Mus musculus: one gene and its partners. The protein of the gene in region 2 purifies or fractionates together with the protein of the main gene of each other region. This does not show direct contact. Links are inferred from orthologs where the notes say so. Each region holds a gene or a part of one and is shown on either strand. Other genes may lie near its edges.

Region 1 (3,688 bases), on a different chromosome or scaffold from region 2:
CTCTCACTGTCACCAGGCACAAAGGTTCAGGGGGGCTGCTGGGGGGCCAGAGCTCATCTTCAAGGAAGATGAGGCCCCTGGTATTGGTGGCCAGGTTTTCAACCGCCTCAGGCTGTAACACAGCCCCCATAGTCGCTAGCAGCAGTACCAGTGGAGAGAGGTGTGGCCCCTGCATGGTGGTACAGCAAGGTCCGGGTGGCCCTGCTTATATGTATGGCTGAGCCAGATTGCTTGCTTGGGAGGGACGCCCCTATCAACACCAAAGGTGACCTTGGGGGACAGTGCCTGGCACTTTTCATGCCCAGCAGGTGGGAGGCGACTGTCTCAAAGGGCTTTCTGTCCTCAGAGCTGGGCCCATAACTGCAGAGGCCTGAGCTGTCCTTGAGTAGCTCCCATCTCCCTGGGGAGCCCACCTGGAGGACGCCCCAGGTCACCACAGCTTCAACAGAGACAAGCAGTATCCACCCTCCCCACTACCAAACACACAGCAGACAGGGAGACACGGGGGAGGCTGTTTAATAGGCTCAAGGCAGGACAAATAGAAAACCTTCCAAGGACTGGCAATGGGAAAAGACCACACAGACAACAGAGGCTGGTGGGGGGACTGCTCAGTTGCCTGGGGGAGGGGGAGGCATGTTCCCAGGGCCATCTGAGGGGAGTGGGGGCCTCAGCATGGGGGGCATAGGAGCAGGGTGCACCCCAGGATTTGAGGGGTGAACCCCTGGAGGCTGAGGGTGGACCCCCGGGGCAGCAGGGTGGACTCCAGGAGGCGGCTGAGGGTGAACCCCTGGTGCCTGAGGGTGGATCCCAGGGGCTGGGGGGTGTACCCCAGGGGCTTGAGGGTGTACTGCAGGAGCAGGTGGGTGTACCCCTGGAGCCTGAGGATGAACTCCAGCTGATGGAGGAGGGTGTACCCCTGGAGCTGGTGGGTGCACCCCTGGAGCTGGTGGGTGCACCCCTGGAGCTGGTGGGTGCACCCCTGGAGTTGGGGGGTGTACCCCTGGAGCTGGTGGGTGGACACCTGGAGCTGGTGGGTGCACTCCTGGGGCTGGTGGGTGCACTCCAGGGGTGGGTGGGTGCACTCCAGGGGCTGGGGGATGGACCCCAGATGTTGGTGGATGGACCACTGGTGCTGGGGGGTGTACCCCAGGAGCTGGGGGATGGACTCCAGATGTTGGTGGGTGTACTACTGGGGCCGGGGGGTGCACCCCAGGAGCTGGTGGGGGCATCTGGGGAGGTCCAGGGGGCCCAGAGGGAGCAGGCCCAGTGGGGGGCATAGGAGGGAGAGGCAGGCCACCAGGTGGAGGTGGGGGCAAGGCATCAGGGAGTGGTGGGCGAGGAGGCAGTCCATTCATGAGTGGGGGCGGGGGCCGCTTGACGCCTGGGGGTCCTGCTGGGAGGCTGGGAGGTGCTGGGGGCTTCTCCATCTTAAAGTGGAACTGAAGAAAAAACTGTAGGAGAGAGGGTCAGTGACTGGGGCAGGGCCACTGAGGAGCGCTGAGAGAGTACCCACGCAAGGCCTGTGGAACCTCACCTGCTTGGTTTCTCTGTTCCAGTGGGTCCAAAACTTGCCCTCAGCCTTGTCAATCTCCCGGCTTGGCACCTAGGGAGAAAGTCAGAGGCTGCAGCACCCCAAGGAGGGGCTAGGATACACAGACAGCTGAATTTAGCTGCTCTCTCTGTCCTGTAGGGTCGCTACCTTGAAAGCAATGGTCTCATAGGGCTCAGCAGCCATGAGCAGGTACTGCCAGCGGCGGTCTGGAGGCTCGATCCTCTGCTCATAAGCAGACATGAAACGGTGGCGTGGCATGATACCCTCTGCGATCTCAGGGTAGTCAATCTGTAAAACATGCACAGCACTATTGGCATCACCACCCGTGTGTCTGGTCCACCCCTGACTGGTCCCACCTCACCTGGAACAGCAGGCTCTGCTGGCCCATCTCTGTGTCCCTCTGCTTGGTCACTGCAACAGAAGGGATGGGGCTGTTATGTGCTGTGTGTGCACAACAGAACAGGGTTCCTCAACACAAGGCCTGGCTTCTCTGCCTAAGGCCACTGGCTAGGACCTAAAGTGAGGGAGGGCAACCCAACCCAGCACTCTATGCAGGGGCAGCTGTTGAAGTCCAAGAAGAGTATGAGGAGGGAGGTGCTGTGTCACAGCCTCCCCAGGACGGACCCTGCCTGCCAAAGGGGACTCTTGGCAACTTGGGTCCCTGGGCTCCTGCTGGCCATGTGATTGGTCTTCTGGCTAGGCCACGTCACCCAGGGGCCTCTGCAGAGGGGCTCCAGGGGCAGTGACTGCAACAGCCAGCCTCCCCCTCCTGCTTCTGGAGATTGCCAGTAGGGATGGTACTTATCAGCACCTGGGGGCTCTTGGCAACACTAAGGGAAAGATGCTTTGAGGACAGAGAAGTCGGCTGTGTGTCCTAGGGACAAGGGTATGTCCGGTGCCAGGGCCAGGGCTCATTCATGCCGTAGCCCCCAGCCATAGGGAGGCCATCACACACACACACACACACACCTTTGTACCCAGGGCGGCCAATCTTCACAAACTTCTTCACCTCCACCTTGACCTTCTCCGGTGCAGGCTGGGCGGGGGCTTCTTTGGCCTCCTTGGCAGCTCGCCGGGCCCTGCAAACAGACACAAGTGCTTGGGCCCTCCACCAGCCACCAAGGCCAAGCACCAGGAGCCAGAGGCCCTGCCCTCAAGAGTTGAGGGAGAGGATTAGGCGGCTCTGCCCTGGGGTACACCAAGCAGGGCAGAACAGGTGAGAATCCTGGCACCACCAATGTCCTTGCCCCTTGGCCATCTGCTCTGTACTGAGACAGTAAGGCTAAACATGGGCTGGGGATGGGGGGAGGGGGTCAAGAATGTAGACGCAGGTAGCCTCTCCCCTCCCCTCCCCATTCATCCAGCCAGATTTCCCTACTGAGTAACAGTGTTGTGGTCCCGGGGAACCAGGGCTGTAGGGACTCACAAGTTAGTCTGATGTTTCTTCCCTTGGGTATGGGCCAGGTAGCTCCCCTGCAAAGAGAAAGGAGACATGCTGCTGAAGGTAGGGAGGGCAGGACGGGCACCTGGCAGAGCAACTGTACCGGCTTAGCTGAGGCCTGGGGCTCAGCCAAGCATGGGAGCCTACAGGGCATCACAGTGGCTGTGGCTGCACTTGGGAGACCTGTGACTAGCCTCTGCACCCATCCCTCCCCAGAAATTCCTCTGCAGTTTAGAGCAGCATTCACTGCAAAAGTCTGTAGTGCTGAGTCCACCAGTGGGAATAGGCAGCTGTCCGGAGGAGCTTCCAACAGAGGCCTGGAACCTAGAACACTGCTCATCACCACCCCACTGTCAACCCGGCCAGACCTGTTCCATCCATGCCTGATCAGTCTGGTCCTCCAGCAAGAGGGGTGGGAAAGGAGGGGTGGGAACTCCCAGTGTCCTTGCCCCTCCAGAAAAAGGGACAATAGCCACACCCCCTCCCTTTAGCCCCAAAATGCAGAAGTGACTCTGCTGATGGCTGGTATCCATTACTATTTGTAAGGTCATTCCCAGAGCACACAGTCAAAGCAAAAGGATAAAGGATAGCTGGTGTCCAGCCAACCTGTGCGGTTATGTTAGAGGACAGCCTGGGACACAGGCAGGAGCATCAGGAGTACACGGGGCCAGCCAGCCCTCCACAGTGAGACCCTG
Region 2 (3,500 bases):
AAAGGCAGGGAGATAAGGTCAAACTACAGCAAAACTGGACAGAAACCTGTGTGCTTAGCAATTCATTTCACTTGCTTACCCACACATTATTTTAGTTTCAGAGTGAAAGAGTCAGGAATGTATTACTCAAGGAACTTGAACCAAAGCCACAAACCCATCTAAGGGCCAGAAGCAAAATAACATCTATTAAAGGGTCAAACTTGAAGTCAAACTTAAGGTCTGTGTGTTTCTCAGGTTAAAAAGTAATCTAAAATCTAAAGCAAAAACCAGATCAGACATTTTAAACTCACAAAATTAATTTCAAAATAATCTACATTTTGGAGAAAACAATAAAGTTAAATTACTCAGGTTCTGAGAAACACTGAGCTTATTATACTTTGGGTTTTTTGTTTGTTTGTTTGTTTGTTTGTTTGTTTTTTCGAGACAGGGTTTCTCTGTGTAGCCCTGGCTGTCCTGGAACTCACTCTGTAGACCAGGCTGGCCTTAAACTCAGAAATCCACCTGCCTCTGCCTCCCAAGTGCTGATATTAAAGACATGCATCACTACTGCCCGGCCTGATCTTATACTTCTTGTCATGACGAAGATGAGAACTTGACCAACCCACTTTTCCTAATATGGGAGTGGGTTAGCAACAACCTCCTTTCTTCCCATTTATATATAAGGTCTTATCTCTCCAAACTGCTGAGAGAGATGTAAGAGCAGGTCCCGGGATCTGGAGCTCTGGCCCATGTTTAGTTTTCTATACCTGCACTTGCACATTTACATCCACTTTAGGAGGGAGATCTGTTAATGCCCACAGCAACTATACTCACGCATGGATCTTGCCATTGTAGTACTGAGTATCCATGATGATCACTAGATGAGCAGCAACATTCATGCCCCAGCAGAGACTCCGAGAAGCTACCACCACCTGGATAGCCCCTGAGCAGCGTAAGGGAGAGGAAGATTGAGGGCAGGGTTCCCACAAAGTATCTGCTTCATTGGCAGGCAGTGGCCAACCTTGTGCTACATTTCAAATATCAGACTGAGGCTGTGTAGGAACAAGGTCTGACCATAATGAAGTACTGTGAAAGGTAGCACCGCACTATTGGTGCCTTTTGCTCTGAGACTATCCTAGAAGAAACAAAGCAATTCAAGAAAACTCAAAATCCAGGGAAAGCAAAACCTTCACTGCATGGTGGATTGGCCCTCTGATGATGAAAGCTAACACCAAACCAAATGTGGCTGGTTCAGGCCATGGCAGCAAAGTCAAACTTACCCTGAACAAATCCAAACCAGGTTGATTCAGAGTCAGAGTAACAGTGACTCTGGCAGAGTTGGCTACACCAAGGCTCTGCCACAAGTGCCAGAATAGTGAAAAACACATAAAATGCCACAGGTCAACAAAGGTAGCAGGCAAGAGGCAACCAGCCAGGAGAGAATCACAAATCCACAGCCATCTCTTAAGTTCTAACCCCTCCAGTCTGGTATCTACACAGAACTTAGGTCTACTGGCCAACGGCCCAACTCCACAAAACCATGTTCTGAAATGAGACCAGCTTTTGTGCCTGTTTTCTAATCTAGCTGGGAGAAATATCTGTTCCAATGACAACAAAAGTATTTTAGAGGAATCTAATGAATTAAGACATACATTAGTCTGCTGGCATTAATAAGTTCTATTCCTTATTGAAATGACATCCACAGGAGCTAAAGGGGTCTGTAACCCTATAGGTGGGACAACAATATGAACTAACCAGTATCCCCTGAGCTCGTGTCTCTAGCTGCATATGTAGCAGAAGATGGCCTAGTCGGCCATCATTGGGAGGAGAGATCCTTGGTATTGCAAAGATTATATGACCCAGTACAGGGGAATACCAGGGCCAGGAAGCGGGATTGGGTGGGTAGGGGAGCAGGGTGGGGAGAGGGTATAAGGGAGTTTTGGGATAGCATGAATTGTAAATGAAGAAAATTCTAATAAAAAATTGTTTAAAAAAAAAAGGGGGCTGGCGAGATGGCTCAGTGGTTAAGAGTGCTGACTGCTCTTCCGAAGGTCTCGAGTTCAAATCCCAGCAACCACATGGTGGCTCACAACCATCCATAATGAGATCTGATGCCCTCTTCTGGGGCGTCTGAAGACAGCTACAGTGTGCTTACATAAAATAAATAAATAAATCTTTAGAAAGAAAGAGAGGACACCCACATCCTCGTTTGACAGCCACAGCCATGAGAGCTTTGGGTGATGAGGTTTTCTTACCGGAGCTGAAGAGCTGCTCTACCAGGCGCCTCTCCATGGGGCTCAGGCCTTCATGCAGGTAGCCCACCCCATTTAACAGGGTCTCTTTGAGTGTGCTGTCACTGAGCTTCTCCAGGTAAGGGATCAGGTCCTTCTCGGTGCAGTGCAGGAACCTGGGCAGAACAAGAACAAGCACAAGTCAGAGGCATTGCAGTCTGTGGGAGACCCCAGACTTAGTCCCTGCCCTTACCCAGGACTTCACTTAACATGATCTTCAAGCACCCACTCATCCCAGAAACTAGAGCACACCCTACCTCTGCCGCTGGATGTCTGCTGCACAGGTAGTGAGGATGTCTATTGCAGTGAGGCGGGTCTGCTTACGAGATGGGACAAAAACGATGACAGGCTTCTTGGGTGAGTGTTTGGTGATAGCATGGTACACAGGCTTGGCCATAGAGAGCAGGCGAGTCTGTGTGTGACTGATGTTGAAGCCCTGGAGACAAAGGAAAAAGACACTGAGGTTACTAGACCTGGGTACCTAGGGATCCCTGAGGCCATGGAGGAATGAAGGCTGTCCTACCTGGATGTGCAGTTCCAAAGGTACAGGGCGCACATTAGGATGGAAGTTGAAGGTGGAGGTGGCACTGCAGCCCAGCCAGTGAGCCACATCCTTGGCATTGGAGAGTGAGGAGCTAAGTGCCACAATGCGAATGGGCCGCTCAATCTGGGAGGAGATGTAGCGCATCCGGGAGCAGATCACTTCCAAGACAGGCTGGGAAGAAGAGAAAGAGTCACTTCAGGCCCAGGCTCCCACCCTCTACCTGAGCTTCCCTTAGTGAACCACCTCTGGCAGTCCCAATTATAGTTCCCCTGCCTCAAAGAGACACCTTCACTAAGCAACATAATATATAAACTCAGATCACTCTTTTGAAATAAGGCAATAGGCTGAAATCTTTGTGAAGACCCTAGTCCCTAGTTTCAGGCCCAACACAAACTGGGTGCGGCCCAGTCCTTCTCTGTGCTACAAAGCCAAGCATACCCCATTCTCGCCCCCAATAAGGTGGACCTCATCCACCACAAAGAGGTTAATGTTCTGGACGTTCTTGCGCTGCTTCCACCTCCGAGAGAGGATGTCCCACTTCTCAGGGGTACTGATGATGATGTTGCCTTTGCCCAGGAGCTTCAGATCTGTGCTGGTCTCCCCCGTCAGCAGCACTACCTTCTTGTTGAGCCTGTCCTGAAACTTCTCATACCAGTCCATGTATACCTGACAGGCAGGGGAGGGAG
Region 3 (3,500 bases), on a different chromosome or scaffold from region 2:
TGCACTCGTCTCGTACGTCCTCTACAATCTCCTCATACTCCTCATCGTCCAGCAGCTCCTCAGGCAGCACCATGTTCATGAGGCACAGGACCTCAGTTGGGTGACCGCCCATCTGCACCTGAGAGCTCATCAGGCCGGGCACTTGAAGGGTCACAGGTGTCTGATTGATGGTGCTCTGTGGGGTCAGGGAGAACAGATCTGTCACAAAATGGCTCAGACTAGCCTCCCTCCATTCAAGCCTGTGCCTCTTACACCCAACTAGTGGGACCATTCCTCTACTTAAGCACTTATGAACCCAGTGCCCAAATCCCCTCCCATGAAAACTGGGGCAGAACTCAAGAAAACCTACCCATCCAACCCTTCCCACCCCCAGGGTCCCTCTAGCCAATGGAAGATGACGTGCCGGGAGGCTCACCAGCGTGGCATTCTTGGCTCCCACACTCGCCCTCTGGACAAGCAGCTTCTTGTCCCCTAGCTGCATCCCATTCAGCCCCGCAATGGCCTATGGTCAGAGGACAAAGGGTGGAAAGGGTGCAGGAAAAGCAACAGGTCAGGAACCAAAGGACCAGGCATTGGTGGGGAAAGAATGAAAGGCAAAGGGCTTTTAAGATTGGAAAGAGGCAAAACCAAGGGAAAAGGAATGAGTCCCCACAAGGCTTTGCTTAAGACTAAACACCCTGCCCCACCCCACCCCACCCCACCCCACAGCCTGAGGAGAGGATACCTAAGGTTAGAAATAAGAGTAGGGTTAAGGGCAGATGGAATGAGCAGCTACTCAGACTCACCTGATCTGTGACGTTGATGTCCACGTACTCACAGAAGGCATAGCCCTTGGAGAGCCCTGTGGCACTATCCTTAACCAAGTTGAAGGCCTTGAGAGGCCCAAAGGATGTCAGCAGCTCTTTTACCTACAAAGGGCCAAAAATTCATCAGGGTTTGGTCAGGCTGACAAAGGTAGCTAGCAAAAGAGCAGAGGATTTACCTGGTCATCATTTAGGTAATTGGGCAAACCCCCGATGAACAGCTTGTGGGCAGAATCTGGGACTACAGTGGATACAACTCCTAAAGACAAAAATGTATAAAGACTTCAATTCCAATACAAAGTAATTTCCCAACATCCAGGAAGAAAGCTGTGACTGGTGACACACACTTGTCTTTTCAGCACTTGGGGAGGCTAAGGCAGAAGAATCAGTCTCTCAAAAAAAAAAAAAAAAAAATCTACCATGGATTCACAGGTCCTATCTACTTAAGATACCATGTAAAGGTGGGAGGAGGCCACACTAAATCCCCTTATTCTGACAAGTATACAAGCATAGGCCAGCCAACAACTGAACATGAAACATTCCCGAAGAACTGACAACCACCCACCAACATCTCATCCCATTCGGTTGTTCAGTCCTTTGCCCTGTATCCATAAGCCCCTGCAGGGGTGACCTGCATTCTGAGGTAATGTGACAAGGAGCTGAGAGGCTGCTCAGAGTCTCAGAACATGCCTCAGTGTTGACTGCCACTGTAGTGATGACTAATGGTCAACTCTTCGAAGCTGTGTTCAGGATCCATTAAAGCTCTAATATAACTACATGGTGCTATCACCTGAGGGAGTCTGCACCACTTCTCTACTCAACTCACATAGAAGTGACGGCCAGATGTTTCTTAGCACACCCCACAAGCTTCACCAATATTAGCATTTAATTCTTAGAGTCAGTATCAGGCCCCTGCATCAGTCTGGCTACTCTGTATGGCTACCCTTTTCAGCCCTGCATCAGTCTGGCTACTCTGTATGGCTACCCTTTTCAGCTCTCCCCCATGCTAAATGCAGTGGTCCATCCTAATGTACAAAAGCATCAAGATAATGACTCGACACACCCAGAACCTGAGTCACTGTGCCCCACCCATCTTCTAGGCTGGCTCTGCCCCACTATAACTCTTTAGCCCCAAAGAACTGCAAGCATCAATTCAGCTATTTCTAACTATTAGAAGTGCACCCCAGTAGTCAAGTTATCTAGACTGTGCAACAGACCTAAGTTACAGTGCAACTATGACAAGCAGAAGCATTAACAGCCAGGCCATATCCAGTACTGCCATAAGCCAGAGGACAACCACTTTAAAAATCTATCTGGGGCTGAAGAGCTGGCTCAGCAGTTAACAGTGCTTGCTGCTCTTCCAGGGGGCCCAGGTTCAGTTCCCCAGCACCCACAGGAGGACTCATAACCACTCCTAACTCCAGTTCCAGGGAATTCGTCACTCTCGTCTGATGTCCTTAGACACCAGGCATCCAAACAGTATATACTTATATGGAGGCAAAAGACTCATACCTTAGGTACAAAAGCCCTAGCTTAAAGCAAAAGAAGTAAAGTTCTAAGAGTAGGAAAAGGGTGACTTCAACAGAGCTTTTCTAAAGCAGCTCAGCAGGCTTGACTCTGCACCAGTCTCTGACAAGTAAGCAGCAAGGCAGCAGCTGGACCACAAGCCCAATCTGGTAATCACTGTGACTTATCACTTCTCTCTCAGAGGGAGAACAAGGTAGGACCCAAGCCAGTTGTCCTAACTTCAATTCTTTGCTGTCTACAGCTAGAGAAAAAGGGAGACCAACACACTACAAACAGGGCGCATACAGAAGCATTCTGCTACACTTAATCCAGGGATACAAGGTGCTAACACTGGTGACTAAGAACAACAACTTCACTTCCACAGAAATGAAGCGCAGCGTCCACTACAGGTGATGTCAGTGTAAGTTATCAGTCCATTCTCTCCCCAGGAAGAACATCAGCCTTCCAATTTACAAATCTTTTAACTCTATCATCAATACTTATTGGATTTCATCAAATGCTTTTCCTCTCTAGTTTATTTAGTGACCTTTGTTTTTCTCCTCTGGAAGTGGAAGTTGAAAAAACAAGACAGAATTCCACTTGTTGCTGCCTCCTCCAAAGTGGTAATTTTGTGCAGAAGCACAGGCAGACCTGGAGGGCCAGGTCTTCAGACAGGCACATCCCAAAGAGACACAACACAGGACTGATCTTCCTTCTATTGTTTAATGGAAGCAATGTAGAGACTCCCTGTGAAAGAGGCCCGTCACTTAACAGCATGGCCCAAAGCAACTATGCCTGTTATCTACATGTTCTCAGTAGAAAGTTTAACATGAAAGAGTACAGAGAAAAGCTGAGCTAGGACTCCTAGGCCAACCTGTGCAGCCCAGAAAACCTATGAATTTCGTGATCACGAACAATTATTATTATTCACCACTCCTGGCTTTCCTCCTCTGTAAAGTGACAATTCCATCCACGACATGTGATGTGGCACATGCTTGTGATCTCAATACTGGGGGCAGAAAATCAAGTTAAGAGGCCAGTCTAAGATACAGTTATACCATGTGTCAAAAAACTACAGCTAGGCCTGCTGGTACAAGCTTATAATCCAACTCTGCAGGAAGATCCAAAGTTCAAGGCCTCCCTGGGAAACACAGAGAAAGCCTGCCTCAAACTACTAGTAAAAAGGCTGAG

Evidence for each region. The genes of interacting proteins can lie anywhere in the genome.
Region 1: the proteins of Snrnp200 (region 2) and Sf3a2 purify together in Homo sapiens (affinity purification with mass spectrometry; 4 studies listed by BioGRID and IntAct, with this or other methods). This does not show direct contact. The link is inferred for Mus musculus from reciprocal best matches to the Homo sapiens genes SNRNP200 and SF3A2.
Region 3: the proteins of Snrnp200 (region 2) and U2af2 fractionate together in Homo sapiens (co-fractionation; 3 studies listed by BioGRID, with this or other methods). This does not show direct contact. The link is inferred for Mus musculus from reciprocal best matches to the Homo sapiens genes SNRNP200 and U2AF2.

What each region holds. Positions count from the first base shown.
Region 1 is NC_000076.6:80,801,735-80,805,422, reverse strand, and holds the end of Sf3a2 (splicing factor 3A subunit 2), read right to left. Parts: intron 3,026-3,688; coding exon 2,979-3,025; intron 2,632-2,978; coding exon 2,522-2,631; intron 1,964-2,521; coding exon 1,914-1,963; intron 1,841-1,913; coding exon 1,700-1,840; intron 1,604-1,699; coding exon 1,535-1,603; intron 1,452-1,534; coding exon 609-1,451; 3' UTR 501-608; downstream 1-500. Other genes in the region: Amh (muellerian-inhibiting factor precursor), read right to left, coding at 1-175. UniProt on the Homo sapiens protein: Component of the 17S U2 SnRNP complex of the spliceosome, a large ribonucleoprotein complex that removes introns from transcribed pre-mRNAs.
Region 2 is NC_000068.7:127,232,386-127,235,885, reverse strand, and holds part of Snrnp200 (U5 small nuclear ribonucleoprotein 200 kDa helicase), read right to left. Parts: intron 3,481-3,500; coding exon 3,253-3,480; intron 2,986-3,252; coding exon 2,794-2,985; intron 2,707-2,793; coding exon 2,528-2,706; intron 2,387-2,527; coding exon 2,235-2,386; intron 923-2,234; coding exon 814-922; intron 1-813. UniProt on the Homo sapiens protein: Catalyzes the ATP-dependent unwinding of U4/U6 RNA duplices, an essential step in the assembly of a catalytically active spliceosome. Plays a role in pre-mRNA splicing as a core component of precatalytic, catalytic and postcatalytic spliceosomal complexes.
Region 3 is NC_000073.6:5,072,143-5,075,642, reverse strand, and holds part of U2af2 (splicing factor U2AF 65 kDa subunit), read right to left. Parts: intron 1,063-3,500; coding exon 983-1,062; intron 909-982; coding exon 786-908; intron 503-785; coding exon 416-502; coding exon of another isoform or gene 404-415; intron 176-403; coding exon 1-175. UniProt on the Homo sapiens protein: Plays a role in pre-mRNA splicing and 3'-end processing. By recruiting PRPF19 and the PRP19C/Prp19 complex/NTC/Nineteen complex to the RNA polymerase II C-terminal domain (CTD), and thereby pre-mRNA, may couple transcription to splicing.